4 linked regions of the Oryctolagus cuniculus genome follow. The protein of the gene in region 3 binds, or shares a complex with, the protein of the main gene of each other region. Links are inferred from orthologs where the notes say so. Each region holds a gene or a part of one and is shown on either strand. Other genes may lie near its edges.

The links.
Region 1: GPKOW (region 3) and CWC22 share a complex: the UniProt entries of both Homo sapiens proteins name them as parts of the minor spliceosome. The link is inferred for Oryctolagus cuniculus from reciprocal best matches to the Homo sapiens genes GPKOW and CWC22.
Region 2: GPKOW (region 3) and CWC27 share a complex: the UniProt entries of both Homo sapiens proteins name them as parts of the minor spliceosome. The link is inferred for Oryctolagus cuniculus from reciprocal best matches to the Homo sapiens genes GPKOW and CWC27.
Region 4: GPKOW (region 3) and RBMX2 share a complex: the UniProt entries of both Homo sapiens proteins name them as parts of the minor spliceosome. The link is inferred for Oryctolagus cuniculus from reciprocal best matches to the Homo sapiens genes GPKOW and RBMX2.

The regions. Positions count from the first base shown.
Region 1 is NC_091434.1:61,054,913-61,062,862, reverse strand, and holds the start of CWC22 (pre-mRNA-splicing factor CWC22 homolog), read right to left. Parts: upstream 5,456-7,950; 5' UTR 5,194-5,455; exon of another isoform or gene 582-5,193; intron 1-581. UniProt on the Homo sapiens protein: Required for pre-mRNA splicing as component of the spliceosome. As a component of the minor spliceosome, involved in the splicing of U12-type introns in pre-mRNAs. Promotes exon-junction complex (EJC) assembly.
Region 2 is NC_091445.1:85,775,412-85,782,851, forward strand, and holds part of CWC27 (spliceosome-associated protein CWC27 homolog), read left to right. Parts: intron 1-1,994; coding exon 1,995-2,138; coding exon of another isoform or gene 2,139-2,142; intron 2,143-3,845; coding exon 3,846-3,944; intron 3,945-4,554; coding exon 4,555-4,658; intron 4,659-6,347; coding exon 6,348-6,417; intron 6,418-7,440. UniProt on the Homo sapiens protein: As part of the spliceosome, plays a role in pre-mRNA splicing. Probable inactive PPIase with no peptidyl-prolyl cis-trans isomerase activity. As a component of the minor spliceosome, involved in the splicing of U12-type introns in pre-mRNAs.
Region 3 is NC_091453.1:34,250,677-34,258,721, forward strand, and holds the start of GPKOW (G-patch domain and KOW motifs-containing protein), read right to left. Parts: upstream 4,706-8,045; 5' UTR 4,672-4,705; coding exon 4,496-4,671; intron 3,723-4,495; coding exon 3,568-3,722; intron 3,463-3,567; coding exon 3,338-3,462; intron 1,473-3,337; coding exon 1,363-1,472; intron 624-1,362; coding exon 398-623; intron 1-397. UniProt on the Homo sapiens protein: RNA-binding protein involved in pre-mRNA splicing. As a component of the minor spliceosome, involved in the splicing of U12-type introns in pre-mRNAs.
Region 4 is NC_091453.1:108,062,319-108,069,243, reverse strand, and holds the end of RBMX2 (RNA-binding motif protein, X-linked 2), read right to left. Parts: intron 6,167-6,925; coding exon 6,037-6,166; intron 4,189-6,036; coding exon 4,011-4,188; intron 3,492-4,010; coding exon 2,983-3,491; 3' UTR 1,928-2,982; downstream 1-1,927. UniProt on the Homo sapiens protein: Involved in pre-mRNA splicing as component of the activated spliceosome. As a component of the minor spliceosome, involved in the splicing of U12-type introns in pre-mRNAs.

The sequences.
Region 1 (7,950 bases), on a different chromosome or scaffold from region 3:
AAATAAACTTTAAAACAAAAAGACTACCCTCCCTCAAAGTTTAGTCTTGCTCATGGACATTTGTCTGTTTCGTTCAATACTACATTCTCAACACATATTTGTTAAATGAATAGTCCTTTTCTTTCACCATCTTCTCTCTGAAAGACCACCTCCATCGTACACCTTCACCTAACATGGGAAAACAAAATTTTTACTCCAGCCGAATCTTCTCCACAGACAAGTTCCAAATCCTATGCTCAGCTGGCTACAGGAAACCTCTCAGTAGGTATTCCAAAGACCAAGTTTAAGGAAGGCCAAACTGGAACTCTTCCTCTTCCTATTTCAAAGCAGCTCTTCCTCTAAAATGTTCCCTCTAGAGCTTCCCAGATGGCAATTTCCTTCTCTTCTCTCAGTCACCAAATCCTACTGACGCTACCTCCTCAGTTCACAGACAAAATAAATCTGTACCTGTTTTTCTTCTGATCTCTCTGACACTATATACACTCACAGGCGGTTAGGGGAAATTTTCATTTAGAGAAGATCCCATAATGAGACCACCTTAGTTTCATTTTAGAAGGCAGCCAAGTGTCTTTTACCTATCTTTTTTTTTTTTTTTTTTCAAGAGAGAAACAGCTCCAGAGCAACAGGACTGAACTTCCCTCAGCAACCCCCACGTCTCATTCCTTAAGCAAATGTATCACATTTTCATGATAACAAAGATGAAACAAAACTTCACATTTCAAACCTATACCCAAGTCCTCACCACTCTACTAAATGCTTGGTAGTAAAATAAAGAAATAGCTCTAGGGCTTCCAGTCACCCACTCAACACTTTCCTTCTTCATTTGCTCAAGCTGCATTTGTGCAGAAGAGTCTCTCTTTCAGAGGTTATAACAACTGAAAAAGTCTGTTATAGGAAAAGACCAAAAAACGATACGGTTAGGGCCACAGTTCATATTTTCATTAAATGGCTCAGAAAAGTACTTACAGAAAAAATGAGGAAGAGTGATGCTAATAGAAAGAGAAGTACAACCATGCTCTTTTCACTAAAGATGGGCCAGTGTACAGGAGGATGATATATATTAAACAGCACACAAGGTAAACAGAACTGGCAGGTCAAAGTTCCTATTCTCAGGTACGGAAGAAAAGTGTTAAGTGCTGTAGCTATGAAAGGTTTCCAAAAAGTTCACAGAAAATAAGCATATTACGGGAAAAAAAACAACTATGCATGGATTTCACAAAATATTTTGCAGCAAAACATTATTGGTCTCATCCATTTGTTCATCTCCAAACGCCTGTAATGGTTTGGAGGCTGGAGCCAGGAGTTCAGTCAAGGTCTCCTACATAGATGGAAGGAACCCAACTAACTTCTGTCATTACTGTTGTCTCCTAGTGTCCACATTAGAAAGCAGCTGAAATCAGGAGCCAGAGCCAGGCACTGAACCCAGGCAGTCCAGATTCGAAACTTGGGCATCCTAACCAATGTCTTAACCATCAGGCCAAGTGCTCACCTCTAAATTTATCTTGTAATTACATTTTCCATGAAGCTGTTGAATGCTGTATCATAAACACCGTACTACAGGAAAAGATGAAGTACAACTAAGTGGATCTGCGATGTACAGAAAGAAGTTGGTACTGAAACTCAGTGTTAAAGGACCAGTAGAAATTACCATATGGGAAGGTGGAAAAGGTCATTTTGGAAATGAGCTCAGCATGTGTAAATATTCAAAGACAAGACAACAGAGAATTCTAGCTTGTATGAGAAGTGCACAGCATGCACAAGGAAAACTGAAAAGTAATGAAAGGGAACATGAGAGACCCATAAAGCTAAAGCATGAAAGACCTTTCATGAATATATTGGATCCCTAGGGGTCTGGGTCACTGCTTTACATTCAGAACCTAGGACAGCATTACCACTTAACAAATCACAACTCTAAAATCAAAAGGGGAAGAGTGTGGACTCTGGATAATTATCCCTAGCTTTTCCTACACAGACTTCTCCATCGCACTACTTGACAACTTCCTTATGAAGAAATGCCTTGTTCCACCTATAATTCCTATTTCTTTTGGGACCACCAAGCTGTTTGTTGCCAACTGCAGCAAGACAGCACTGTCACGTGCCTTTGCATATTTGTTTTTGCTCCATGTTAACCCAGAAAGCAGTTTGTATAAACTTCCCTATTATTGAGTTCCTTCCCAGAAATTACAAGAGAAAAACTGACCCTAAAGGTACAGTTCAATTTATAAAAACATGCCTAATTATGGAGTGTGCTATATGTCTTCACCATACAATCATACCACTGTTGTCTGTCCCCCTCCCCCAAAATCTGTTCCTTTTCAGGTCACTGAATATATGGGCTGGATACATTCTTAACAGACAGCACAGCTCCAAGAGGGGCCTTTCTGATCATTCTGAGAGCCATTTAGTCAACCACATTCTGGTGTAAAGAATCTTTGGAGGTGGTGGCCTCTACAGCAAATTTATCAAGTAGCGAACAAACTGCACTCCATTCCAGCACGGCCACTCCTGTCACCATGGTTGCAATAAAGCTGTCCTGACAGACTCATTCAGGCAAGGACCACAGATGTTTTCAGTGGAAGTGCTGTCTAGTATGACCCATTTATGAGTTAGGCTCAAAGGTAGGTTAAACATGAGCTGCCCACAGTCCCACTCTCTCTTTAGCCAGCTATTCTTCAATTACAGGAGCTCTTGATGTGTCCCCAGGCCTAAGCAGCCCATAGTCCCTTTCTGGTGTCTGCTCACTGGGAAGTCTTGCTAGCCTGGCTACAGTAGCAAAGGTCTGCTTTAATGTACTGCTTCTTCTCCTGAAGTTCTCTTTTTAAAGAAAATGCTTTGAGAGTGTACTTTGTTGAAAGCCTCGAAATGTCTCTTTTCAATGTTCACTTGAGAAATGCTTGCAGTAGGAAACCAGCAGGCCTTATTGTCCCATTACCCTCCAATGGCAGAACTGTCAGACTTTAACAGAAAGGGAAATTCAACAAGGAAGCCCTCCAAAACATAGGTGGAATCATATATATATATATTACCAATAGCCCCTTTTTTCTTACTTAGAATAGCTCTAGGATAGTCATGACTAAGTTAGGGATAAACCAGGTAGAGCAAAATTCAGTCTACATACAAGATGGCAATAAATAGCAACTACCGTTCAAGTTAAGGCATAGTATAGGCACATAAAGGGTACTACAGACACATAAAGTGCCACTGTCTCCTTTGTTGAAGTGATGTCAAATACAAACCACTGTAGGTCATTTGGCAATGCAAAATTATGAGATAATCTCTAACAATTCAGCAAATGAGAAAACTAACAAAGAAAGGTGTTTTATAAAAGTAGTTAAGTAGTCTAGGAAGCATCAGAATTGCAAAAGTGAGTAAGCCAAACTACCCAAAGCAGGGAAGGATGTGGTGAAATAATAATGATGGGAAACTGGTTGGCCACGAATCAAATAATTTGGAACAAAGAGGGCAGGCAACCTGATTTGGGGAACCACAGCATATCTCTAAGGCATTAGCTTTTTTATGGTCTGGTAAAAAACATACAGATGGGTCCCATGCCCCAGTTTTTGATTCAACAATTATTACATGACTAACAAGTTCCAAGGAGATACCGGTGCTGCCGACTTGGAAAACCACATTTTAGGAACCACTAAGCCAGGGTAATAGAAAAAGCTTTTTGGCCTCTAAAGTACCAGTAAAAGAATCTCAGAACTCCAATGAGTTAGGAAAGATTCCACAAAAGTGACACGAGCACTTAAAAGTGGCAACATTCAGAAGCAAAGAACAAGCACTAAGGAACAGAGAAAACTCATTAACTCTATCATATATTAACAATGTTAAAACACCGGAGGCCAGCCCGGGAGCACACTGCCGGACATGCAATGCCTTCAGACTCAACCAGTGAGCCAGGCAGTTATTATTACAACTATTATTACCTTTAGACAAGGACTCTGAGACTAAAGATGTTAGTACACTTGCCCCAAGTGATAAATCTAATAATCACTGAAGCAAGACTGCAATCTCTGGCTTGCCAGTCCATCACCCAGCACCCACACAAGTCATTTCCTCCTCCTATAGACAACTGCCTGCAGCAACGCTTCCAAAACCGCACTTTTAACGCTAATCCTAAGTCTGCCCTTCCACAGGATAACTGATGTTAACTCCTGTGTTCCTAAATAAATCTAAATGCAGATAGGGAAGAGGGAGGCTAACTGATCTTTTTTAAGACCAACTTTGTTCGTTTATCTGCTATTTCTAGTCTGTTGATATCGCATAACACAAAGGAAACTCATCACATTTAAATCACCCAACTCCTACACCCAGAATAGCCTTTTCCCAAATTTCTCATTCTCACTCCCCTCAAAGCACGGAGGATTAAGTAAATACAGGTAAAGACGCTATTTCAGTTAGTCCAAGCAAAATTAACTATCATATCACCATTACATTGAAGTGTATTGTAGGACTCCAGAGCTCAGCAGAGAGTGACGAACCGGAGGACCAAGTTAAGGAGTTGTCAATCTTATTGGAAGTGGTTCAACTAACGGCAGGACGAAAGATGATAGATGAAGACAATGGAAAAGGAGGGGTTCCCAGGACTAAACATCTGTAAGTATCAGTAAATGGCAGGGCAAATACATGAAAAAGAAACCACTAGTGAAATTTTACAAAGAGAGTCACAGGGATAGTACTCCGCCGAGAGGCTTTAAAGTCAGTTAGCTATCTCTTAAATGAACTATAGTTCATTAATCCTATTCCCGAGTCCCTGGGACCCGGGCACTAGGTAGGGGCCTGGGCAAGCCCCCTAACTCGAGAGGTTCGAAGTGACCCGCGCCCAAAACACTGCACACGGCGGGAGGAAGAACCAGCTCGGATGCAGTCACCCAGCAACTGAGACACGGCCAAGGTACGGCGCAGGAACCTCATGAGCCTGAGGTCCGTCCGCGCAGGCGGAGAGCCAGCTCACGGCTGCCCACTCTCCACCTGACGGGGCGACTCGGCCCAACCCGCTCGCTTAGCCCAACCTCGCGGGCCCGCGCGTGGCGGGAGGACGGCAACGCGCTCCCGGGGCCGCCCACAGCCGGACCCGGCGGCATACTCCCCCCGCCCACAGACCTCCTCACTATCCCTCCCGGTCCAACAACCCGCGACCCCCCACTGCAGTTGCCTCCCCGGGACGACTCGACCGAGTTCGATAATTACCTAGAGCTCCACCGCGGCGCCATTACACCGGATGCACGTCACTTCCCCTTCCCGGGCACCGGCAAGAGGAGGAAGGCGGAGCGTGAAGTACGTAAAAACCGGACGCTCATTTGGGTTTGACGCGCTTTGCCTATTAGGTTATCTTAAACACCACATCACAACGCCAGATTGAAAGCAGTGCATCTAATCATACTGTCTCCTTACCAACACGGCAACGAAAAGCAAGTAGACCCGAACTACAAAGACCAGCATCCTCCCTCTCGTCAGACGGAAATGACTAACCGCAATTGTAGTTTTAGCGCGAGAAAGCCCCAGTGGACGATGGGAATTGTAGTTCTTGGATATAAGCATCTGCGACTGCCTCCAGGCTGCTCACAGAATACCTGAGAGTAATTAGGGTTTGATAAGATTAATTATAATCCAAAACTGTTTCTCTGCGGTTGGCAGAAAAGTAGTCCTCTGTGGTCACGTTTCCGTGAAAATATTAAAAAACAGAAATCCTCTCAGACATTTTGGTTTGACCAAGAGCATATTAAGCAAAATGTTACTAAATGATTAAGTGCCTACTAAGTTCCAAGAGAATATTAGCCCATTAATAGACTGAGAGAAGCTAATTCTGTGAAGACGATGATGTCTCTCTTTGGGCTAAGATACCAGGTGACAAGACACTGTCGAGATAAAGAGATTCCGCAGCTGAGTTAGAAACTGTCTTATACAGAGTTCAGAGGTAGGGCTTCAATCAAACAATTTCCTTGAACTTTCGTTTTTGCAATCACAAAACCCAGAAGTCCAAGTAATTGTTAACTGTTTGGGGAGTTCTCTTGCTTTTTTAAACCAGGACTGGTTTCTGCAAATACTTCATTACAATTTTAGGTTATTTGTGCTTCTAACTCTTTCCTAGTTGCAGAGATTAAAGGCATTAAAAAACAAAATGGAGCTGGGCTACTTATGCTTAAACGATGGATTTATTCATGAATCATTGACTTCGAGTAAGTTACTTCACATTCTGTGTCCATTTCCTGATTTGTAAGGAGTAAAAGCAGTACCCACCTATATTCTGTTTTATCAATGATGCAATGCTTGATATACAACTGCAATTGGGCTAATACTTGGTTGAAGTTGCTATAGTCTATAATAATTATCCTAATTCAGTTGATTTCTTTAGATCAGACCGTCAAAATTAATTGGAGCTATGTTGGCATTATCATAAAACCTTGACATTTTTCTGGATATCATTTAAAAAATTTTTTTTTCTATTCTGGGTATCATTAAACTCTACTATTCACATATGACACTGATTTTGATTGCTCTCTTGGCCAAGAGAGAAAGTTCAAAGACTTTTGCTTAGCCTTATCCACTGTTACAGTTTGGATGATAGTTTGTGTGTTCCCCAAAGGTCTGTAGGTTGAGGACTTGATCCTCAAAGTCTTATGTTAACCATTAACAGGTCAATGTTAATGGTTGAAGGATTAAGGGTTGAGGCTTAATCCAATTATGGTGTCTGGAAGGTGGGCTCACTAGGAAGTATTTAGATCATTGGGAGCTTGCCATCAGAAGGTGGTTCTTGTGAGAGAGCTGATTATATAAGCCTCCTTCTACTCAACTGTTCTCTGCTTCCCGTTTCACCATATGTGTGTCCCACACCAGCCTCCAGCCTCATCAAATGCATAAACCAATGGGACTGCCTGATCTTGGACTGTGAGCTGCCAGCACTGTAAGCCAAAATCAGTTTTCTTCCTTCCAAGTAGCCCTTCTCAGGTATGTTAATTGTAGTAACAAGAAGCTGACTAATATACCCACTATGGTAGCTTTTACTTTACAGGTCACAGGAAATATATGGAAATGTACCACCTTTGAAGTATGTCAATCCCAATTTTACACTTGGGACTGCGTAACTGGCTACTAGTTTTGCCTGTGAGCCCAGTGAAGCCATTGTGAAAAAGATGGCTGGCCCTGACTCCAAAACTACAATTCACCTCCTTCCAGCAGGAGAGCCATAATGGTGCTTCCTATCTTTAGGTGTCATTGTTCGCTGCTGCTGTGCGTTTACCAGTTCCCCTTTCCTTGTGTGCCATAATTCAGATAATTGGAAGTGACTCTCTTTGGGGAAGGATCAGAGGAATCATGACTGTGTATACCTGACTTGATATTGCAGGATGTTTCTTTCCAAAACCCAATTAAGTCCCAATTAATGGCTTGAAAACTGGACAGGTAAGAGATTCAGAGTTTTTTGTTGAGTTGACTACCTTTAGCTCATCCATTCTTTTTTTTAATATTTTTATTTATTTTTTTGAAAATCAGAATTACACAGAGAGAGGAGAGGCAGAGACAGAGCGAGAGAGAGGTCTTCCATCTGATGGTTCATTCCCCAATTGGCTGCAATGGCTGGAGCTGCGTCGATCCAAAGCCAAGAGCCAGGAGCTTCTTCCAGGTCTCCCACGTGGGTGCAGGGGCCCAAGGACTCGGACCATCTTCTACTGCTTTCCCAGGCCATAGCAGAGAGCTGGATCAGAAGTGGAACAGCCAGGTATTGAACTGGCACCCATATGGGATGCCGGCGCTTCAGGCCAGACCGTTAACCCACTGCGCCACAGCGCCGGCCCCTCATCCATTCTTCATTCTAATTATGTGTAATTAAGGAACCACTTCATTGGATGCACAGATATTTCTGTCTTAAGAGACACCCTATTCTATTCACCATCTTCATATGTCCTCTTGGTTGCTGCTCTGTGAAGTCCAGCCACTAGGATGACTGTG
Region 2 (7,440 bases), on a different chromosome or scaffold from region 3:
ACATGGTTCAGAATAAAGATAGAGTATTTCCTGATGTCTGTCTGTATTGAATATCTGCAGCTCTGTAAATGAAAGCATTTTTTAAACACTGCATATGCTATTCTACTTTAAGTTTTATGTAAACAGTATCTGGAATCTGTAGTAGACTGCTCATCCTGCTATCACCAAATACCAGGCTGGATGGCTTCAACAGTAGGGTTTGTTTCTCATGGTTCTGAGGCTGAGAAGATCAAGCAGTGGTTCGCGGTCAGGTCTGTTTTTCTGGCTTGCAGATGACTGCCTTCTCTGACATCCTCACAGTGGAGAAGGGAAAGAGAAGTCTGGAATCCCTTATTTTTATAAGGACGCAAGCATTATTGGACTAGGGGCCCATCCTTATGACATTGTTTTAACCTTTATTACCTCCTCACGGACCAAAATATAAGTGACATTGTGGGCTAGGAGCTCAGTGTATGAATTTGGGGGTTACACAATTCAGCTCACAGAAGAATATATTCTAAATCATGCACAATAGATCTCGCGGCACAAAATGCACACCACAATTGAAAAATCACAACAGGAAAAGCAACATAAAAAGTGTTAGAAAAAGATACATTAGGAATAGGTCAGTGATTTCTTAACTACCAACAAATCTTAGAAGAACAATGAGGTAATGTCATAGTTAAGATAGAAAGAACTGTGTGTTCAAGTGAAAACTAAAATTTGTGTTCATTATTAACTGCTGGTACCTGTATCATGTTCTTTGAATGAATGAACATCAAAAGCTCTTAGAATTTAGAAGTTTTTGAAAACTTCATATTTCTGTTAATGGGGTAGAATGTCTGGAGTTTCCTTTCTTCTCTGAGTTACTGTGTGAGTCTTCAGAAAAATACTTTATGAATTGTTTGCTTTAATTTCCAGATGATAATGGCCTTAGGAAATAGGAAATGATTATGAAAAAATTTAGATGTCAAGTTAGCCTATTTATATTTACCAAAGTAAAATGACTCATAGTTTTAGAGCCTCTGTCTAGTAGGAAGCATTCCTTTATTCTAGTATTTGGTGTAACAGAATAGCTTTTTTTACAATTCCTTTCTGATTAATTTTTTGCTTTTTTATTTTCATATACTACAATTATTTTGTTAAATTTTTATGTTAGGTAATTTAAAATACAGTATATAGAGTAATGATTCATTGAATTCAGATCTCTTTGAGAATTAACTTATTAAGGAAAAATAACTTCATTTATGACAAGCAGTGATTACATTCATGGCTACATTATACATAATGCAAAATCAGGTCTGGATGGAAATTCTGTGTACTCAATCTTAGCCAAAAGGCCTAGAACCATTGGATATTCTGTAAACAAAGTGGCTTATGTATGTGTTAAGTAACCCTATCATGCAAGATAACCATCTTAGAAAGGCTTGCTCCTGCCCTTTCGGAAACTAGCAGATTGGACCAATGCCAGTTCAGAGAAGATTCAGCTTAGGGCTTCAGTGAAGTCACAGTGAAATCATTTAACATAATCAGAATAAATTCCTTTAATTAAAAAATGAGAAGAAAGCAATTGTTTTACGACATTTATAATGAGATGATGACTATTACCTGAAGACTCTGCAATGACTCAACATTGTTTTCTTGAAGAAAAAAAAGATTTTAAAAGCTTGGATGGTTTTGAGGGATAATAATAGGGAAGTGAATCTTAGAAATCTACTCCCAAATGAATACCCTTCCCCTGCATGTTAGTAGACAGCTTTCCACAAAATATGCTGATCTGTGGCTGAGTATGTCTAGAATATACTTATAGGTTAGTGATTTCTAGTTTAAGTGCATTAAAAGTATAAATATTAGACTTGATTACACTTAAAAGTCAGTTAAATTAAACTTATCATTTTTGTTAGTATTTTGAGATTTTGTTAGTATTTTGAGATCTTACTGGTCAGGTAAATAATCAATTGAATTTGAAATATCTTATAACTGAGAACATTCTCTAAATATTTTTTGTACCTCAGGATGAATTTCACTCTCGGTTGCGTTTTAATAGGAGAGGACTGGTTGCCATGGCAAATGCTGGTCCTCATGATAATGGCAGTCAATTTTTCTTTACTTTGGGTCGAGCAGATGAACTTAATAATAAACACACCATCTTTGGAAAGGTTAGTGTCTACTTATCTTAAATTTACAGTTTGGTCTTTGGTTTTATGTTATTCGTTAATCTGTGATATATATATATATATGATTAACTTATCTAAGAGCTTCCTTTATAAAAGTATTTCTGGAATATTTAGTTTATATATTATATATATATGTGTGTGTATATATAGATAGATAGATAGATATAGATTTTATTTTTTTAATTTGAGAGACAGAGTTACAGACAGATAAAGGGAAAGACAGAGAGAAAGGTCTTCCATCCGCTGGTTCACTTTCCCAATGGTTGCAACAGTCTGCTCTAAGCCGATCCAAAGCCAGAAGCCAGGAGTTTTTTCTGGGTCCTCAATGTGGGTGCAGGGGTCCAATCACTTGGACCATCTTCCACTGCTTTCCCAGGCCATAATAGCAGAGAGCTGCATCAGAAGAAGAGCAGCTGGACACAGCTGCTTTCTTTAAAGCTATGGTCTTTCTTTAAAGCTATGGTAATGGTATTAGTTACTATGCCATTCAGCCAATATTGTTCTTACAGTTTTAGAAAGACCCTTAGGTAATTCCATTGAGCACTTTAAAGTTTATCTTGCTAAGGATGAATTCCCTCACCTTTAAAGTGGAAGTTGTGCTGACACTGACATACAGGAGATGCAAGTGCCTATTTAATCCCATTTGCATTCATTGTCATAGCAGGGAGTGCTGTTTCTATAGAATTTTCAACAGTTCTCTTTAATGATGGATTTTTTTCCTCATTCATCTCTCTTCTCAAATGTATTCCTATATGAGTATATTTGAAGTCTTAGTTTTAGGCATATGAGACATCACTAGTGTATCAGCCCCCTCTGCTGGTCCAGTAAAAATTGTTTCTCCCGGATCCTTGGTAAAACTGGATTTTGTGATGATGAAAGGGAAAAAAACAACTTGGTACAATTGGAAAATCTGTTGTATTTATAAAATTTTGGAAATGCTGAATGAAAATAACATTAAAATCATGAAAAATCAATGTAATTGCTCCATACTTAACAACATGGGTTAGGGTATCTGTACAGGCACGTTCTTTTGAACCACTCCTAAGCAGGTTGTATGTTATTCATAGATTTCCTCTTTTCCTCCATTATTTTTAAAATATAAGAGTGTATAAAAAGTGGGATTTAAGTAGCCATTTTCTACCATTTTTTACAATTGATGTAACCGACACACTAGAGACAACATATAGCATATTAGAAGCTGGAAAAGCAATCACTGTTGGCTTTAACACTTCTTTGAGATTCAATTTCTTCATTTGCATAAGGAGATAATGATAGTTCCTAGTTGAAGGATATTTATGAGTTTTAAATGAGGAAATATCTACAAAGCACTTACGTTATTATTGATATTATTTGTTTTTTTTCTGTGCTAGATTCTAAATTTGTTTTTGATGTTTGAATGAAAAGTTATTATTCAGTTAGAAGTTGTTTGGCATTGTATTTTTATTTTAGTAAAAACTGACGCTAACTATATTTTGGACATTTCCCAAAAAACTTATTGCGGGGTAGAACTCCATCTATTGCTTTTCCCTTGAGATGAAGCTGCTTTATTTGTATTACTTAAAACATATGCTGTTAGGTAATACTATGAAATTCCCTATTAATTATTTTAAAAATCTTTTCAAATATTCCTTTTAATTGAAAAATTGAATACAATAATTTGAAATTACATTTTATACTTTTATTTGATAGGTTACAGGGGATACAGTGTATAACATGTTGCGACTGACAGAAGTAGATATTGATGATGATGAAAGACCACGGAACCCACACAAAATAAAAAGTTCTGAGGTAGGGAATATAATTATTATGAGATATAGCACTTAACTTGTTATTTAAGAGGGATTGGTTATTAGTATTTTTAAACTATTAGATGAAGAGTTTTTACCAAATTAACCTCACAACTCAGATTTTATCTCTATTTATGCTCAAGTTCTGATGAAGAATATTTTAAATTAAAGGTTTAGAATTCAAAGATGAAACTTTAGCTGAAAATCCAGTGATTAAAAAGCTTAACTCTGAATAGAAACTTAGAGGAATTAGCCTGAAGAAATGACTTCATAGGTAATTGAAGAGTGACTGTTCATTGCGTCAGAAAGATTCTTATGAAGGTCAAAACACTTCACTTTGTTACTTTACGTATCATTTAAGTTTTCTTAAGTATTTTTTCCTTTTGTAAATGGAAATAAAATACAGTATCACTTACTTAATAGATAAAGGATTATTAGGAGAATCCAATGAGGCGACATAAGTGATGTATATATATATATATCACTATACTAATAACATTTATGTGGGAAGAAAACTACAGACACCGATGTCAGTGACAGTAAATATTGGTTTTCCTCTTTTGTGAAATTAAAACAATGAAATAATGTTTTTAAACTATTTCTTTTCATAGGTTTTGTTTAATCCATTTGATGACATCATTCCAAGGGAAATTAAAAAGCCAAAAAAAGAGAAACCAGAGGAGGAAGTAAAGAAACTGAAACCTAAAGGCACAAAGTAATCATAGTAGAAAGATTTTTCTTCAATTTGAAAAGCAACTCTATTTCACTTGGTTTATTTTATTTCTCTTTATAATAATTATTTTCTAGAAAGGGAAAGACTAGTTTGAATGAAGAAGATGTGGTTATTGTCAGGGTGTTATTTTTCCTAAAGATGAAATTATGCCATCTCATATGTCTATATGAAACCTATGTTAATAAATAAATATTTTATCCTCATTCAGTTATACAAATGAATTGAAAAACTCTAGTTTGGCTTTTTAAAAATTAATACATATAGTCACTCAGTATGAAGTATTTGGAAAGTAGAGAAAAGTATAAAGAATATTTTTAAAGACTGTTACTTCCATCCCTTATTTTTGGTGCTATTAAAATAATATTTTAATAAACATTTTAAAACATAAAATTTTCATTTAATATTCTAGATTATTTGCTTAAGGTAGTCTGCAAAACAATAAGAACTTTTAAAATGAATTTCAGTATTTTGTGATAAGAATCTTTACATTATTACTACTATCTATATTAGTAAAATAGTAAGAGTTGGAGTTCAGTTTTCTCTTTACTGAATTGTAGCATCCTTATTAGGGATTTTATTGTATTTATAAATGTTAGAGTCAGACAATTCTATATATAATCCTGACCAACACAGTTAATGAGAAGCAAAGTTTATTTTCCTGAAATTCATTGCCTTATCTTACAAAAGGAAGATTCTAATAAGTACAACACCTGATTGTCTTGAAGATTAACTCATAGGGGCTATGTGGAAACATCAAATAGTGTAGATATTCAATACATATTAGTTTATTTCCTGGATATTCTATCAGACATCAGCTAGATACTTTAATAAACAGTTGATGCTTCATGGCAAAATAACTTATTATTTAAGTAAAGCTTATGTATTTGATTTCCTTTTATTTCTTGATTCATTCATTTTGACTAATTTATCTGTGGATGAAAAGTCACTGTCACTATATTCTTATGTGGCATTCATCAGTTTGATTTATCTTGACAGTAAGCTCAAAGTTAGTTTTTTTGGTGTGTTTTCTTTTCATCCACAGAAAGTATATTAGGGATGTTTGGTAGCCATTGCTTGCATCTAGGTTTTGGGAAAAAATTTGTTTCCAAATCTTTAATTTTTCTAATATTCGAGAGCAAATTTTAATAATCTGTTGTTTATATTATATGAGATTTACCCTAGTTTGAAGGATCAGTGGAGACAATTTTTTTCTTACCACTGACTACTTTCATTTTAAAGTTTATTGCTGGTATTTTTTTTTGTCTGACAGTTTTGTGTACCTTATTAATTTTAAAATATTGACATATTTTGCCAAATTCTAGATTAATTGCTCTCCATTTTTAGTGTTCTCAGTTGTTTGCCAGAAATCTCCATTTTACTACCAATTTTGATAATTACACAAGTTTGATTATTTTTGTCATGCTTTAGGTATATTTAATGGTAATGCTCAGGATGGGTTTTTAGTCATTAGTTTATAATAATGCATGAAACGTCAGTGGTCTAAGGTAAAGGCTTAACATTATCCTGAAAATATAGGATACTCATGCATCATACTAAGTAATACTGTCTTTTTAAAACATTGTATTCTGTTTTGTTGCTTTGGAAAATAGGGTACTTACAAATTTCATTTAACTTTTCCTAATTTTATTTTATTTTATTTTTTTAAACTAGAAATTTTAGTTTACTTTCATTTGGAGAAGAAGCTGAGGAAGAAGAGGAAGAAGTAAATCGAGTCAGTCAGGTAATCGCGAATTAAACCTCTTTTCTGAGTTATCTCTCCTGCTGTACTGAACACCATGTTTCACATGGTACACATCCAGTAATGTTCATTGAGTTGATTTGTGTGATGGTTTGCAGTTAGTAATATTTGCAACTTCTGAGATATTTGCTCTCAAAATTATCTAGAATTTCTGTAAATAATTTATTAATTTTGTTAAATATAAAAATTATTTTTAAAATATGGCATTTTTCTGTTACTTAGAAATATAATTTTTTGAGTAGTTGAACTTACTCAGATCTTAATTGCTATTTGTTTAATTGATTTGCTAGATGATAATTATGATTATTTTTGTCATTATTATTAATATAGACTAAAACCCTTATATTCATCTAAATGTTATTTATATATATTTTGTTTCATTTCTTCTCATTATAACCTTTGAGATGGATGTTATTATTCTTATTCTACCTGTGAAAAAATTCAAATATAGATAAGTTACAATTTACTCAAAGTCACATAGCTAGTAAGCAGCTATAACTGGGAACTGAACTCAAATACATGGCCTCATAGACTTAGACCAAAAAGTGTGGTTTTCCCCTTTTCACTTTCATCACAATACTCAGTATAGAAACACAGTGTCATGTCATTGTTTAGAGCAGTGATTCTGGTATGTATCATCATCTAAGACGATCATCTTCAAGGATTTTTATTCCCAAGGTTCTAATATGTCTTTTTTTTCTTGAAATTTAGTGAACACTGAAACCCAGAGGATTAGATTCAGTCTTTGTTGTGATAATTAAAGCAATAACCATCCTTATCTTAGTTGTTTAATACAGTCATCTATTTCTCTTTTTTAAATTTTATTTAATATATACAAATTTCGTATATTTCGTATATGTAGATTTCAGAACATAGTGATATTTCCTACCCTACAATTCCTCCCGCCCAAACTCCCACCCATCCTCCTTCATCCCTTGCTTTATTCTTAATATTTACAATGATCTACTTTCATTTTAATTTATAGCCATAAGATTATCCCTACCC
Region 3 (8,045 bases):
GCCAGGTCAAAGCCAAGAGCTGGGAACTCAATCCGGTGCTTCCACATGGGAGCAGGGCCCCAGGTAACTGAGCCATTAGCTGCCACTCGCCAGGGTGGGCACCAGCAGGAAGCTGGAATCAGGAATGGAGCCAAGCCTCAAACCCAGGCACTTCCATATGGGCATGCCAAGTGGCGTCTTAATTACTGCACCAAACACCTGCCCTGCTCCCTTTTCATTGGCACCTGAAGCTCAGAAAAACCTAGCAAGTGGCCCTGCCGTGTTACCTAGTGAAGCAGTGTGCCAGGCAGGCCTAAAAGACCTGGACTTCCAGCCCTTTTACCCCAAACCCGATGCTTCCTGCCTCCGACCCTCAAATCCATCTTCCTTGGTCTCCAGGGACACCCTGGCTCCTTACCTTCCCGTAGCGGCCTCGGTAATGGCCAGAAACGACCGTCACAGCTGTCCCCGTCTTCAGCCCTTCGGGCTGCCTTGTCGTATCCTGCCCGTCATCCTGATCTTGGTCCACATTTGTTCTTGGAAGGCAGCTGGAACTGGTGGAGGTCAAGGCCTTCATCTCAGCCAGGTTGGCGCCCAGCCCTAACCCCTTGGGCCTCAATGAGTTGACACGGGGCTTCACTATTCTGCGTGAAGGAATATGGATTTACTGGGGACGGGATACAAGCACCTTCAGTGGCTTCCTCTCTCCCCTGCTAAATCCTACCCCATCGAATGTTCAAGAATGCCCTTTCCAATCTCTCACTTCGGATTGTTTTGGACCTACAGAAATGGAACTTCATTTGTTTCAACTTAACACCATGCTGCATACACTACATATTATACAGTATCTACGGTGGCATCTGAGGCAGGCCCTCATAACCAAGCATTTCCTTGTAACCTTCTATTTCCACAGCAGAAATCATATGCCCGGTCAGGCCAGACAGGAGAAACAGGCTATAAGAACGCTCAATGCCAATGCAGATCATGTTCGGCTGCCACATGGTTTGTGAAAAATTGTCTGCTTTTCGAAATTCATTGGAGTTTCCAATTGTGGAGAAGGGATTGTAAGTCCGTGTGATAAAAGCAGATACTTAGCCTGTGCTTACTTGGGGTGGGGGCCTATTCAATGTGCTTTATGGGTATCATCTCATCAAACTCTCACGAGAGGCCTGTGAAGTCCATCCTGTTACCCCCACTTTTCAAATGAGGAATTGGAAACAGGAGTGGAAGAGGCTACTGAATTAGGGGAATAATGTATCCTCTCTCCCTGCCTGAAGGGTTCTGGGTTGGCAGTCACCATGGGGTGGTGGCGGCAGGGGGCGGGGGGGGGCGCTTGTTCACAGCTCCATCCGTCCACCCCGTCACCCTTAGCCCAAAACTCACTGACTGAAAGTGCGTCCAATGCCATCACCAGGTTTCCAGCCCATACCCCGCAGCATGGCCAGTCCATAGGCCTCCACAGAGACTGCCTCATAATCAGCTTCTTTTGGTACCTAATGGGTTCAGGAAGAGGAAGGAGCGTCAGATTTTGCAAACACTGGCTTTCTATGCGTGTGAGTATGTGCATCTGAGAGGCAGACGCGCGCGTGCACATGCACACACACACAGAGAGAGAGAGAGAGAGAGAGAGAGAAAGAGTATGAGAGCTCCCAGCTGCAACTAGGCTGGGCTGAAGCCAGGAGCCAGGAAATCAACCCACTTGATAGGCAAGAACCCAACTACCCAACTACTTGGGCCATCACCACAGCCTTCCGGGGTGCACCTGAGCAGAAAGCTCTGGAATCAGGAGACAGAGCTGGGTTTGGAACTCAGGCACTCCCACGTGGGACATGAGGATGCAGAGGGATTGCTAGAGTTGACACTGACACAGAGACCAGGAGATGACAGGGGGAGCCATGAGGAGATGAGAAGGAAAGAGTGTTGTGAGCAGAGAGGACAGTAAGAGCAAAGGCTCTGAGGCCAAACAAAACTCGGTGTGTGTGAAGAGTATTATGAAAATCAACATGACTGGAACAGGGACATGGGGGCAGAGGAGCATGGGTAAGGGGTCAATCAGGAGAGCTGGGTGCAGGAGGCAGACAACCTGCAGGCAGGTGGAGGTCACATGAGGGGCCAGCGAGAAAGTCACTGCAGTCGTCCAGATGTGCGGTGCTGGTGGTGATGAGAAGTGAAATTCTGGATGCATTTAGAAAAAAGGCAAAGACGGCGTTGACAGATCATACGTGGGGGTATGACAGAGAGAGGGAGGGGCAAAGATGACGGCAAGGTTTGGAGCTGAGGGAGAGGAAGGACTATGGAAGTGTGATCAATTGACAGGTGGAAGGCTGCTGGAGGGGGCTTGTCAGAGGGAAAATGAGAAACAAGGCCAGAGCTGGAACAGGATGAAGAGTAAATGGAGGGTCTTTGTTTGTTTTTTAATGAAAGACACCAGAGCACAAATGAAGGTGGATGAGTTCACTTCTAATCACCCCAGTTAAAGCCAGGATGGTCGATGCTCTGTGGCCATAGGAGAAGTAGGCCCTGAGGAAGCAGTGCAAAATACTTATGAATGAACAGGTGAGAAGTCGAGTCCAAGATATGGACAGACTTGCTTACTTCCATGGCCCTGCCGCTACCCTTTCCTGTGGTCGCTTCCCGTCGTTACTCCTTCAATCCTTTCATTCACTCATTCCAGACACACAAGTTGTCTCACTAACAGACACACCACACAGCCTTCCTGCCATGGCCTGCTCGGGCAGCTGCTACCATTAGGAATACTCACCCTGCTCTTGCCTCTCTCGCTAAACCCTACCTCGCCTTCTCTCACGCCACTTGGATCTGAGTCCTTACCATCTCTGGTCTAGACTGCTGGGCTCCCTGCTTCTACCTTCACTTACTAGTCTGTTGTGTTCACAGTAGATTCTGTTGAATCATAAGTCGCATCCTTTCTCTGCCTAGGGCCCACCCATGGCTATCATTTCATTCAGGGTAAAAGCCAAAGTTCTCATCATGACCCACAAAGCCCTGCCTGGTCTCGCCGCACCCCCTCCACTGCCACCTGACTTCTCTTACTAATTCCAGTCCAGCCGCGTTGGTCTCCTTGGTGTTTGTCAAACACTCCAGGCAGTGTCCACCCTCATGGCTATTATATTTCCTCTTCCCTCTGCCTCTCACCCCATTCAGACAATCCTAGGATCCAACTTCATATTCCAATATCTGGATTCATGTGTTAATGTTCCCAAAAAGGCTGGAAGGAGGAAGAGCTAGGCAGTAGGCCTCCAGTGTACACACAGACTTTCTTTGCTGTGTGTAAGAAGGCATGCATGGCAGACAGGGCAAGGAGAAACCAAGGGAGCAAGGGGGTAAGGGGCCAACTCACAGTTTCAGCTGAGTGTTCGCTGTCTACCCCTTCCTTGTTGGAGGTGTATCCTTTCTGGATCATGGGGATAGTGAGCATGGAGTCGGCATTTGCATTCTTTCTTTCTTCCAGGGACTTCTCGGTTTCTAAGGAAGAATGGGAGGGAGCAATGAGGTCCCACCCCATGTATCTTCCACCTTCTTCCTTGTCTTTCTTCACTGGAGCAGGGTGGGGAGAGGGGGCCCACTTACCCTCAATCAGTTCCTTCACAGCCTGGGACAGCACCTCATCCATCAAGGTCTTGGTGTCTGTGGATAGCCCAGAGGGCTGGACCAGGGGCTGCCTGTGATAGCCATTCTGAATCAAGGGAATGACAGGTTCCTTGGGGACCTCTGAGGGCTTCACACTGATGTGGACAAAGAAAGGTAAGGTGAGGAGAGAAGCAGGGTCCGTGGGTTCCAGCTACACCCCCCCTATGCAGAGAAACACAAGAGCCAAGCCCCCTCCTAGCTCCATGGACCATGCCTCTGATTGCACGTCATTGTCCCTCCAGCCCTTAAATGACAGTATCTTCCAGGAATCATTGCCAGGCCGTCTGTTCATCCCAAGAACTACAGATGACCATTTGCAGCCAGACTCTTCCCAGCTCCAGAACAGCCTCCTAGGCGGTTGCTTCTCTTCTGCGAGTCCCTCCCTCAGGCACTTCAGCCTCTTCTTTCCTAAAGATGCTGATGCGGCCTCCCTCAACCTGAATCTGCAGCTCCATCTCGTTCCCCGTATTAGAGTCGCCCCCATTCACTTTAGCTGAGACAACAGGGTCCTGTAATTATTCCCTCTTTCCCACTTATCTGAACGCACACACCAGAGTGTCCCAGCATCATAAAGGTATTCCCTGTCATGAATGTGAGGGCATTTCAAAAAGTCCATGGAAATGAATACTGAAATAATGCGCATTTCCCACGAACTTTCTGAAGTATCCTTATACATCTTCTCAGTCCACACGGCCATGAAAAGCAACTTCCCTACTTCTCCCACAAGCTCCTGCCTTCTCTCCTCCACGGATTTCCTGAGGCCGTGGTTCAGGCTTTCCAGGCCACTGTCATCAAAGCAAACTACTCGAGTCCTCCCGCTCGCACCCACGGCACCGATTTACAAGGGGCGAAAGACCCGGCGCTTCACCTTTGTAGCTGCCTCCCTTCCACGGTCTTCAAGAAATCCTTCTCCTCTGGGGCGGACTCTGCGCCATCACTTAGGGCCACCAGCCGCCTCCGAGAGGACGTACGAGTAAAGGCGAATGAAATTGGGGCAGTAGAAGGTGCAGTCGGCTGCAAAACACCATCTTCGGCGTCTGCCATCTTGCCCCAGTTCCCAGGCTGGTGCGCTGCTTGCTGGGAAGTTTAGTTTGGGTTCAATTCGCTAGCGGCAGTCAGACAAGCGCAAGAACTACATTTCCCAAAAAGCATTGCGGCGTCGGCCGACGAAACCAAACAACTAGCCGTAGGAAGTTATTGTAGCGCGTCTGAATTTCACAGGAATGCGCCTGCGCCAAGTATACCGGGAACTGTAGTTCCGCCAAGAGGCGGTAGCGGTAGAAGGTAGATTCCTTCTTCCCAGGAGTTCGTTTCTTCTTGTTTTAGAGAATGGTCTTGAAAACAGGTATTCCATTATTCTAACAATCTCATGGCTATGTTTCCAGTTTAGAAACCCTGGGCATCTTGGGATGGGCCCTGAACTCCCAAAGGAACAGCTACAGTAACTTTCAAAACAGAGCAATAAATTTTTAAAAAATCTTTATTCAGCAATACTTTTAGACTTACATGTCGCGAAGTAATACTGTTCTTTTTTTTTAAAAAAAGATTTATTTATTTGAAAGTCAGAGTTACACAGAGAGAGGAGAGGCAGAGAGAGAGAGAGAGAGAGAGAGAGAGAGAGGTCTTCCATCCAATTGTTCACTCCCCAGATGGCCACAATGGCCAGAGCTGTGCCGATCCGAAGCCAGGAGCCAGGAGCCTCTTCCCAGTCTCCCACGTGGGTGCAGGGACCCAAGGACTTGGGCCATCTTCTACTGCTTTCCCGGGCCATACCAGAGAGCTACACAGGAAGTGGAGCAGCCAGGTCTCGAACCGGTGCTCATATGGGATGCCGGCACTTCAGGCCAGGGCGTTAACCCACTGCACCACAGTGCCAGCCCCAAGTAGTGTTCTTTTATATCTTTTATCCAGATACTCTTAAGCTTTTTATATAACAATAGTATAATTATCAAAATCAGAATGATGCAATACTATTAGCTGTAGACAATTTTCTGTTCCAGAATTCAGAATTAAACCTAAGATCACATATTGCAATATAATTGCAATGCCTCCTTTCTCTTCTTCAGTCTTGTGGCAGCTTCTCAGTCTTTCTTGACTTCTAACTCTTGCAAAGTACAGTTCATTTTTTTGTAGAACCTTCCTCAGATAGGTTTGTCTGATGATTTCTCATTGTTGGACTGAGGTTATGAATGTTTGGCAAAAAATGATGCAGAAATGATGTGCCCTTCTAACTATATCATACTAGGGGATTTGTGATGTTGATATGTCTTATTACAAATGAAGTGAGCATGGATCACATGGTGCTATAGTTTGAATATTTATCTCTCTTCACTCAGGAGTTTAGTCCTGAAAGGATTTTTTTAATGATGTATTTATTTGTTTTTAAAAGGATTTATTTATTTTTTAAATTTTTTTTTTTACAGTGAGACAGGGAGAATCAGAGAGAGCTCTTCCATCTGCTGATTGACTCCCCAGATGGTCTCAATGGCTGGGGTTGGGCCAGGCTGAAGCCAGGAGGCTGGAACTCCATCTGGGCCTCCCATGTTGGTGGCAGGGGCATAAGCACTCAGACTATCCTTGGCTGCTTTCTCAGGAGCATTAGCAGGGAGCTAGACTGCAGGTAGAGCAGCTGGGACTGGAACAGGCACCCATATGGGATGCTGATGCTGCAGGCAGTGACTTAACAAGGCCATGATGCCAGCTCCAAGTCCTGAAAGACTTATGCTAATGGTTCTGAGTGGGTGGAAACAGTACCATTATGGTTTTTCCAGGTGAGGCTTTTGGGAAACGATTACACTGCATGAGGTCATTTGAGATGGAGCCTCCATGACTAAATCCTGATGGCTTTATGAGAATAGAGACACAGAGTAGTTTACTTCCTTTCTCTCTTGCCATGCGATGCCCTGTGCTACCTTGGGACTCAGCCAGCAAGAAGGCCATCACTAGGGGCTGAACCAACAGGGCCTGCATGATCATAGACTGTGACCCTCCAGAGTTATAAGCCAAAGTAAATCTCTTTTCTTTATAAAGTTAAGCTGTCTTGGGTATATACTTATAGTTATGAAAAGCTGACTAATACACTTGGTTAAGGTAGAGCCTGCCCGTTTTCTCCACTGCTGTATTGCCTGCAGGGCAAACTGTCCATGGCTGAAATGATACCCATTTCTTGAGGCAGCCATATGAGGCAGTGTGCACAATACAGGTTTTACTCAGGTCAGGGCCACAGGTGCCTGAGAGTCTTACCTTTACAGCTGATTCACACCTGGTCTCTAATCACTCCTAACAGGTACCAATGAGATCATGTCAGCCTACTCTGGTCCTGATACAAAACTGTGTAGTGAAAATATAAGGGGAGGAAAGACATTTTTTCTGTCTTTCCTTAATCCTGAATACAAAATCAGGAGTAACAAACATTGAAAAGTGTTTGCTTGCCATACAGTTAAGAAAGATTATATTCAAGTTTTTTTTAAAAGATTTATTTATTTATTTGAAAGGCAAGAGTTAGAAAGAGGGAGAGAGACATAGAGAATCCTCCATATGCTGGTTCACTTCCCAAATGGCTGCAATGGCTGGGGTCCAGCCAGGCCACAGCCAGGAGCTTCATATGGGTTGCCCACATGGGTGCAGGGGCCCAAGAACTTGGGCCATCTTTCATTGCTTCTCAACTGCATTAGCAGGGAGCTGGATCCCCAGTGGAGCAGCTGGGACTTAGCACCCATGTGGGATGCTGGCATGGTAGGAGGTATCTTAACCCTTTACACCACAGCACCAGCCCCTGTATTCAAGTTTTGCAAAATTAACCATTTATTGTGTTGTTCATTCAGTAACCATTGAGTACCTGTTCTGTTGCAGTACCTTGCCCCCAAGGTAACCATATGGGATACTGGAAATGCCAGGGGTTACACGTATGATTAAGAATGCACACATACAGTGGTTGAGGAGGCAGAAAGGAGATTAATTGTGCCCAGAACTACTTCTGGTAGTGGGAGGGGTGCTGAAAACTGAACAGGTGTTCTGGTAGATGGCAGGAAACGAAGCAAGATTGATATGTAGGGACTGGATCATGGATGGCAGGGAATTGGAGGCTTAGGAATTTTTTTTAATTTGTTTATTTATTGGAAAGAAAAGAGAGGGGCCAGCGGTGGCATAGCAGGTAAAGCCACCGCCTGCAGGGCTGGCATCCCACATAGGCACCGGTTTGAGACCTGGTTTACTCTCCAAGTGGCTACAACAGCCAGTGCTGGTCCAGGCTGAAACCAGAAGCCTGGAACTCCACCCAGGTTTCCCATGTGGGTTTGGGGCCCAAGCACTTGGGCCATTCTCAGCTGCTTTCCCAGGCACATGGATCGGAAGTGGAGCTGCCAGGACTCGAACTGGCAGCCATATGGGATGCCAGCATTGTAAGCAGTGGCTTTATC
Region 4 (6,925 bases), about 74 Mb from region 3:
CCTGGATGAAGCTCCTGGCTCCTGGTTTGGCCTGGCACAGTGCTAACCATTGCAGCCATCTAGGGAATGAACCAGCAGATGGGAGATGTTTCTCCCAGTCTCTCCCTCTCTTTTTTTTAACTCTGACATTCAAATAAATAAATCTTTAAAATAAATGAAAGATCATCCTTGATGACCTGGGTGGGCCTCATCCAATCAGTTGAAGGCCTTAAGAGCAAGCTATGGTTTCCCTGAAAAAATTCTGCCTGTGGACTGCAGTGTCAGCTCCTGTTTTGTGAATGTCATACTTGCCTAACCAGTGCCCACAACTGTATGATCCAGCTCCTTGCCATATACAGAAAAACCACACAAAATGACCTAGTCAATTGCATGAGCCTTCACAACTGGCTACCAGGAACTGGGACTTGAGCAAAGTAGCCACAATGGCTGAAGCAGAGGCCCACAGCAGACTCCTGATTACCAAACTGACTAAACAGGCCTCCTCTGACAAGTGGCTCTGGCTCGAGGACTCAACATCAGTTTTGCTAGAACTTCTGAGACCTGCCCTGTAAGACTTTCTTTACTCACCTTCTTTCCTTCCTTGCTTCTCCAGAGGTCAGACATGCACCACAGTCTGACAGCTTTCCCAGACTCCTCCATCTCCTGCTCCATTTTCCTTTTCAGGTGTTCTATCCCTGGGGAAAAAAAAAGCCCTGTACCTGTAATCAAGGACCCAAACTACCACTCAGGGTAACATTAAGAAAGCGTGCTCACTGTTAAAGCACTGGCCCTCCCATTGGCAGGGTCAGAAATTCAACGTTAAGGGGCCAGCCTTGTGGCATAGCAGCTTAAGCTGCCACCTATAGCACCAGCACCTCATAAGGGTGCTGGTTTGAGTCCTGGTTACTCCTGATCCAGCTCCCTGCTAATGTGCCTGGGAAAGCAGCAGATGGCCCAATTGCTTGGGACTCTAAACCCCCATGGGAGACCCAGATGAAGCTCTGAGCTTTGGCCTGGCCCAACCCTGGCTGTTGTGGCCAGCAGATGGCGGATACCCTTCTCTGTATCTCCTTCTCTCTGTGTGTGACTGCATTTCAAATAAAATCTTTTTTAAAAATGAGAACTTAAAAAAAAGAAATTCAACATTAAGACTGCAGCAGGATAACTAATACTCAAACAGTAGTACACTTACACTTTGTGTTTCTGTGTGGGTGCAAACTGTTGAAATCTTTACTTAATATATACTAAATCAATCTTCTGTATATAAAGATTGAAAAATGAATCTTGATGTGAATGGAAGGGGAGAGGGAGCGGGAGATGGGAGGGTTGCAGGTTGGAGGGAAGTATAGGGGGAAAAAAGCCACTCTAATCCATAAGCTGTACTTTGGAAATTTATATTTGCTAAATAAAGGTTTAAAAATTTTTTTAACTAAAAAAAAAAAAAAAGACTGCAGCAGGGCCTGTGAACCAGTTCCTGCCAAATTCATAAGGGGCTGAGTGCTATAATAGAAACTAAGATTCAAAATGAGAAGGAACTACCAATCAGACCAAAGGTGTGCGATGGAGCTACCAGTGTTCCCACCTGAGCAAGAGCGGCTACGTGAAAAGCAAACCAAGCACAGAAGGTCGCCTGGCGTGTCTGCACACAAAACAGGAAGCTGACTAACCAAAGGTAGAAACAATCCTAACGTCCGTCCCAAGGAATGGAGAAACAAAGCGTGGTCTCTCAACAGGATATTATTGAGCCTTAAAACAGAGTGCAGTACTGATACATGCTATAACATGGATGAACCTAGAAAACATTATGCTTAGTGAAGGAAGCCAGACACAAAACGCCACTGCTGTGTGATTCCTGCTCTGTGGAGCATCCCAAACAGGCAAATCCATAGACACAGAAAGCAGATGGGTGGCTTCCAGGGACAGGGAGGATAGGGGTAATGGCACGTTATTGCTTAATAGGTATTAGGTTTTATTTGGGGACAATGTGAATGCTTCAAAACTAGACACAGGTGGTGTTTGCACAACATGGTGAATATAAGTGCCACTGAATTGCTTTGAATTGGTTAACTTTATGTTATCTGCATTTCACATCAATACAAAGAATTCCAAGGGAAAAAAGTATGTGGAAAAATATCTCAACCAAAAAAAGAAAAAGACAAGACATTTAAAGCTGTTTTCAAACAGGGTTTAGAGAGGGAGCTGGTTGTTCTTAAGAATCCCATCAGGCACTGGCGTTGTAGTGCAGTGGTAAGCTGGCTCCTGTGATGCTGGCATCTCAGATGAGCAACAGTTTTGAGCTGCAGCTGCTTCACTTCCGATCCAGTTCTCTGCTAAATGCGCCCAGCAAAGCAGTGAAAGATAGCCTGAGTACTTGGGTCCCCAAACCCATGTGGGAGACCTGGATGGAGTCCCTGGCTCCTGGCTTCAGCCTGGCCCAGCCCTGGCTGTTGTGGCCATTTGGGGAGTAAACCAGCAGATGGAAGATCTCTGTGTCTCTCCCTCCCTTCCTCTGTAACACTGCCTTTCAAATAAATAAAATTAATACTTAAAAAAAAAAGAATCCCATCACATTCACCTCCAGCTGTCTGAACCTAGTTAAACCACACTTCACTGCAGTTCTACCTGCTAACTGGAAGTCTTAGAATGCTGGGTTCTCAACATTGAAGACAAAGACTAGGCCTCTAGAATTGTCTGTAATTTTCCTTTTCTGGCAATTTCATCTCAAGCTGGGGGGGCTATGGGCCCCATGGCCAATTTATGAACGAAAATTCAGGACACGTTCTCTGTTAAGTTCCAAGTATATTTCCAGGGATGATGGATTGTACTAGAAAATGCAGGGTATCTGCCAATGAAACCACAGCCTTCTCAAGGACTCCACTACTCAAGGGATTTTTTAAAAATCAGCTCTAGAGATTTCATATGGAGAAGTAATGGCGTAGCTGAATCTGACTGCATTTTAGAAACACATTTCATTTCCAGATCTACCGAGCGGCTGAACTGGCTTCAGTGACGCCTACGCTCACTGAGATTTGAGGACTCCCGCTCCCGGGAGCTACGGGACTTCTTCTGTCTGTGAGATCGATCTCGGCTCCGACTTCTACTCCGATGGCTCCACCCATCCGAATGCCCATTGTGCCAGCTAGAACACGCGTCTGAGCTTCGTCCTTTGTCCCTATCCCTGTTCCTTTCTTCTCTGGCCTCTCTCCTGTCGGAGGACCTGTGCTCATGCTTGGATTTCTCCTTCTTCAGCTCCCTGGCCAGGTCCTCAACTCCACCGCGGGGGACAGTTCTGACCTCAGGGGAGACAGGGTAGTGCTTCCGTGCTTCCCTGGACTCCGACTTCGGCACCTTCTCGGAGCCCTTGGTGCTGCTTGTCTTAGGGCCAGGCTCATCCTTTTCCTTTATTGTCTTGCTTCTGGGCAAGGAAGAGGGAGATGGTTGCTCGACCAGTACTGTCCGGTCACTCTTCTCTTTCTCTTTCTCTTTCCGTCTTTTCTTTTTTTCCATTTTGTCTGGAGAAGAAGGGCGACAATCGGTAACAAAAGGGAAATAGAACTCCCTAAAGCCATGTCTTTCCTCTCCGTGTACGTGACATCCAGCAAAGGTAGACCAGTTTACCAATGCCTGCCTGCCGGGAGGGGAGCCCATGGGCAAGGAAAATAGGCTGGGCAGCAGCGTGAAGCCGTCACCCTGTGCTTCTGGGAAAGTGCTGCGGGGAAGCAACTTCGATGTCTGTCACCCGCAACGTCAAGTTGCTGGGCACGGCCATTCCCACTCCAGTCTCTCTCTGAAAACCACATGTCCAGATGCAGTCACAGTGGACTAGGGGTGAGGAGTTCAACGTGTCGATTCTGGGGAACACAATTCAACCCAGAACAGGAGTCTTCTGCTGACACCTCCCCTTCCCCAATTAAAATAAGGTCCCCCCACCTCTCCTTCGCATACTTATGACCCGATTATCAACCATCAATGAACTCTAGGAGGAACAGATGCTAAGACTGCCAAGTTTCTCTTGGGTTTGAATGTTTTACCTTTTTTGTGCTTTTTTATGGGTTTCTCTTCTTCAGAATCCTCAGATGAACTCGGTGAGGGGGTATTAACACCACAGCCCATCGCCTGGAGCTCTCTGGTCACATCGTCCATGTCTTCTGAGACTTTAGGAACCCGATAATTAGCCACATGATCTACCCGGATAGTTCTTCCTTTGATCTAAGAAAAACAGGCAGCGTCTCAAAAAGGCAGGCTTCATTTCAAACTGTCCAGCTGTTTGAACGCCATCTATTACCCTCTCTCTAATTCTATTACGGCGCAAACCGCCACAGCAGACCCACTCAACCAGTCTGAATCACTGCAGGTGTGCCTAGATGGTAACCCATTCAGCCTTTAGGGCAGCGGCAGCCAGCTGGGCCCGGGACAGTTGTACTAGCGTTCTCATCGGCGTACCCCAGGGCGAGATACAAATACTTTCATGTGAACAAAGGCCGAGAAGCACTGCCCAGGAGCACAAGCATCACAGAGGACCATGAGAATTCAGAGGGACAGCAACCAACTGCCCCACTCTGTAATACCGTATCATTAGCTGTCCTGGAAAAGCCTGGCAGCTAGAAGGAATTCCTGAAGTCTAGCTTAAGCTCAGCACAGTCGTTAGGAGGAGGTAAAAGTGGACCAACAAGTAGAAAGGTGAGAGAAATGGAGAAAAGACCAATTTCTTCTTCTTAAGCTCTCATGCCTTGTTCTACCCTCACCATACCAGAACAATCAGCCTACATCGATTCCTGTGCTGTGAATCACAACTCCCACAGGGGAATCACAAAATTGCTCCTCACTTAAAATTCATTCTGGGACAGGAGTTGCAGTGCAATGGGTTAGGCCACCACCGGGCATGCCTATATCCCATATTGGAGTGCCTGTTTGAGTCTCAGCTGCTCTGCTCCTGATCCAGCTTCCTGCTAATGAGCCTGGAAAGGCAGCAGATGATGGCCCAGGAATTTGGGCTCTTGGCTGTGGCCTGACCCAGACCTGGCTGTTGTGGGCATTTGGGGAGTGAATCAGAGGATGGAAACACTTGTGTTTCTCTCTCAATGTCACTCTGCCTCTCAAATAAATATAAGTAAATCTTTTTTTAAAAAAATTCTATTTTCTGACAGATACAGACTTATTACATAGACGAATTAATTTGAAATTTGAAAAGCTTAACTTTTATTGTTCCAATTCAAGAACAGATTTTTATTCTGTTCTTTGGGCTTGAATACCTTCATCAACTATCCTATTCTCCATTCTGAAACATTTTTAGAAGCCTCCCTTTTATGGTAACTCCCTCTGGCTGCTGGCTCCCTTAAAAATTAAGCCTGGCACACTGCTCCACTCTGTTCTATAATCTCCAGCCACTCCGTACTGGCACAACCAGTGACAAATTCTCAAAGGCAGGAGTCACATCTGAGCCTGAACAATGCTCACTCCAACTGAAGGGTCTTTGCTAAATGAGTGTGGGGATCATGTGGAGCACAGATAAACCTAACTTGTCCCATCCTCTTCTCTCAGCTCCAGGCCTCACTCACAATGGGGGAGATGAGAGGAAAGAGAGAAGGGAGAAATCCCAGAATGAGTTTTTTGTAGAACTGGTCATCAGATTTTCACCAGAGAATTTCCAGGGCCCAGTGTGCTAGGGCACTGGAGACACATGACAGACAGACATGGCTGTGTCCTATGAGGCCCAACTCCACCAACATAGCACACATGGAAAAACACATTTGCTAGTCTCTTTGCTCTCCAGTGCACCAGAGATGAGGGCAGAGGGTGAAGAGGGAAAGGTGAAAAATGCAGGATGGGATGGGCGGCAGGCATGTTCCTGGGGAGAAGGCTTGCTCACATACGGGGGAAAGGAACAGGTCTTGACAGGGCCATGGGCCAACAGCATCATCTCCTGAATCACTTTCTGAAGAATGCCTCCACACCTCTGTAGTCCTTGCCACACACCCAGCTGCCCAGTACTGCCCCTGCACCTGTACGGATAGACACACAGAGTCCAGCCAAATTCTGTTCACTAGGCATGCTCACCTTGATCCCATTAAAATTGTCAACAGCCAGAATCGTGCTCCTCTGGTCTTCATAGCAGAGGAAGCAGAAACCTTTGGATTTTCCAGTCTTCTTGTCCCGCACGAGATTAATGTTAACAACCTCCCCATATCTATTTATGTGAGAAAAGAGTAAGACATCATTGACTCAAAATGCAAAAATATTCAGACTGTTCATAATAAAACAAAATTCAACAATGTACTCCAGGCAGGAAACACATCTAGAACAAGGTAAGATAGAAAGGTTGAAAATAAAAAAAGACCAATTTAAAAAAGGAGTGGAAATACTAAGATTGAAGACAAATACAAGGCCAAATTAAAAACACTAAATGGGACTATGAGAGCATGAAAACTCTTTTACCTTGAAAAGGGTTCTAATATATAACAAAGGTATAAGTCATTAAGTTTTATGCATCAATTAAGAAATCCAAATTTTTGAAAAGCCAGTAGAAATACAAAAAGAAACTAATAAAACTGTAAGAGATTCTAACACATCAGTAGGTTCATAACAAAGTTAACAGAAATAAGATGAGAAAATAGACAATTGTATAATAACAATAAACATAATTAACATACCAATAATTATATTAAATATGAAAAATCAGGCTAGTACATATATAGCTATTTTTGAAACCTATAAGAAGATGACAATTTCTTTTCAAGAATTCATGAACTGGCCGGCACCGCGGCTCACTAGGCTAATCCTCTGCCTTGCGGCGCCGGCACACCGGGTTCTAGTCCCAGTCGGGGCACCGGATTCTGTCCCGGTTGCCCCTCTTCCAGGCCAGCTCTCTGCTGTGGCCAGGGAAGGCAGTGGAGGATGGCCCAAGTACTTGGGCCCTGCACCCCATGGGAGACCAGGATAAGTACCT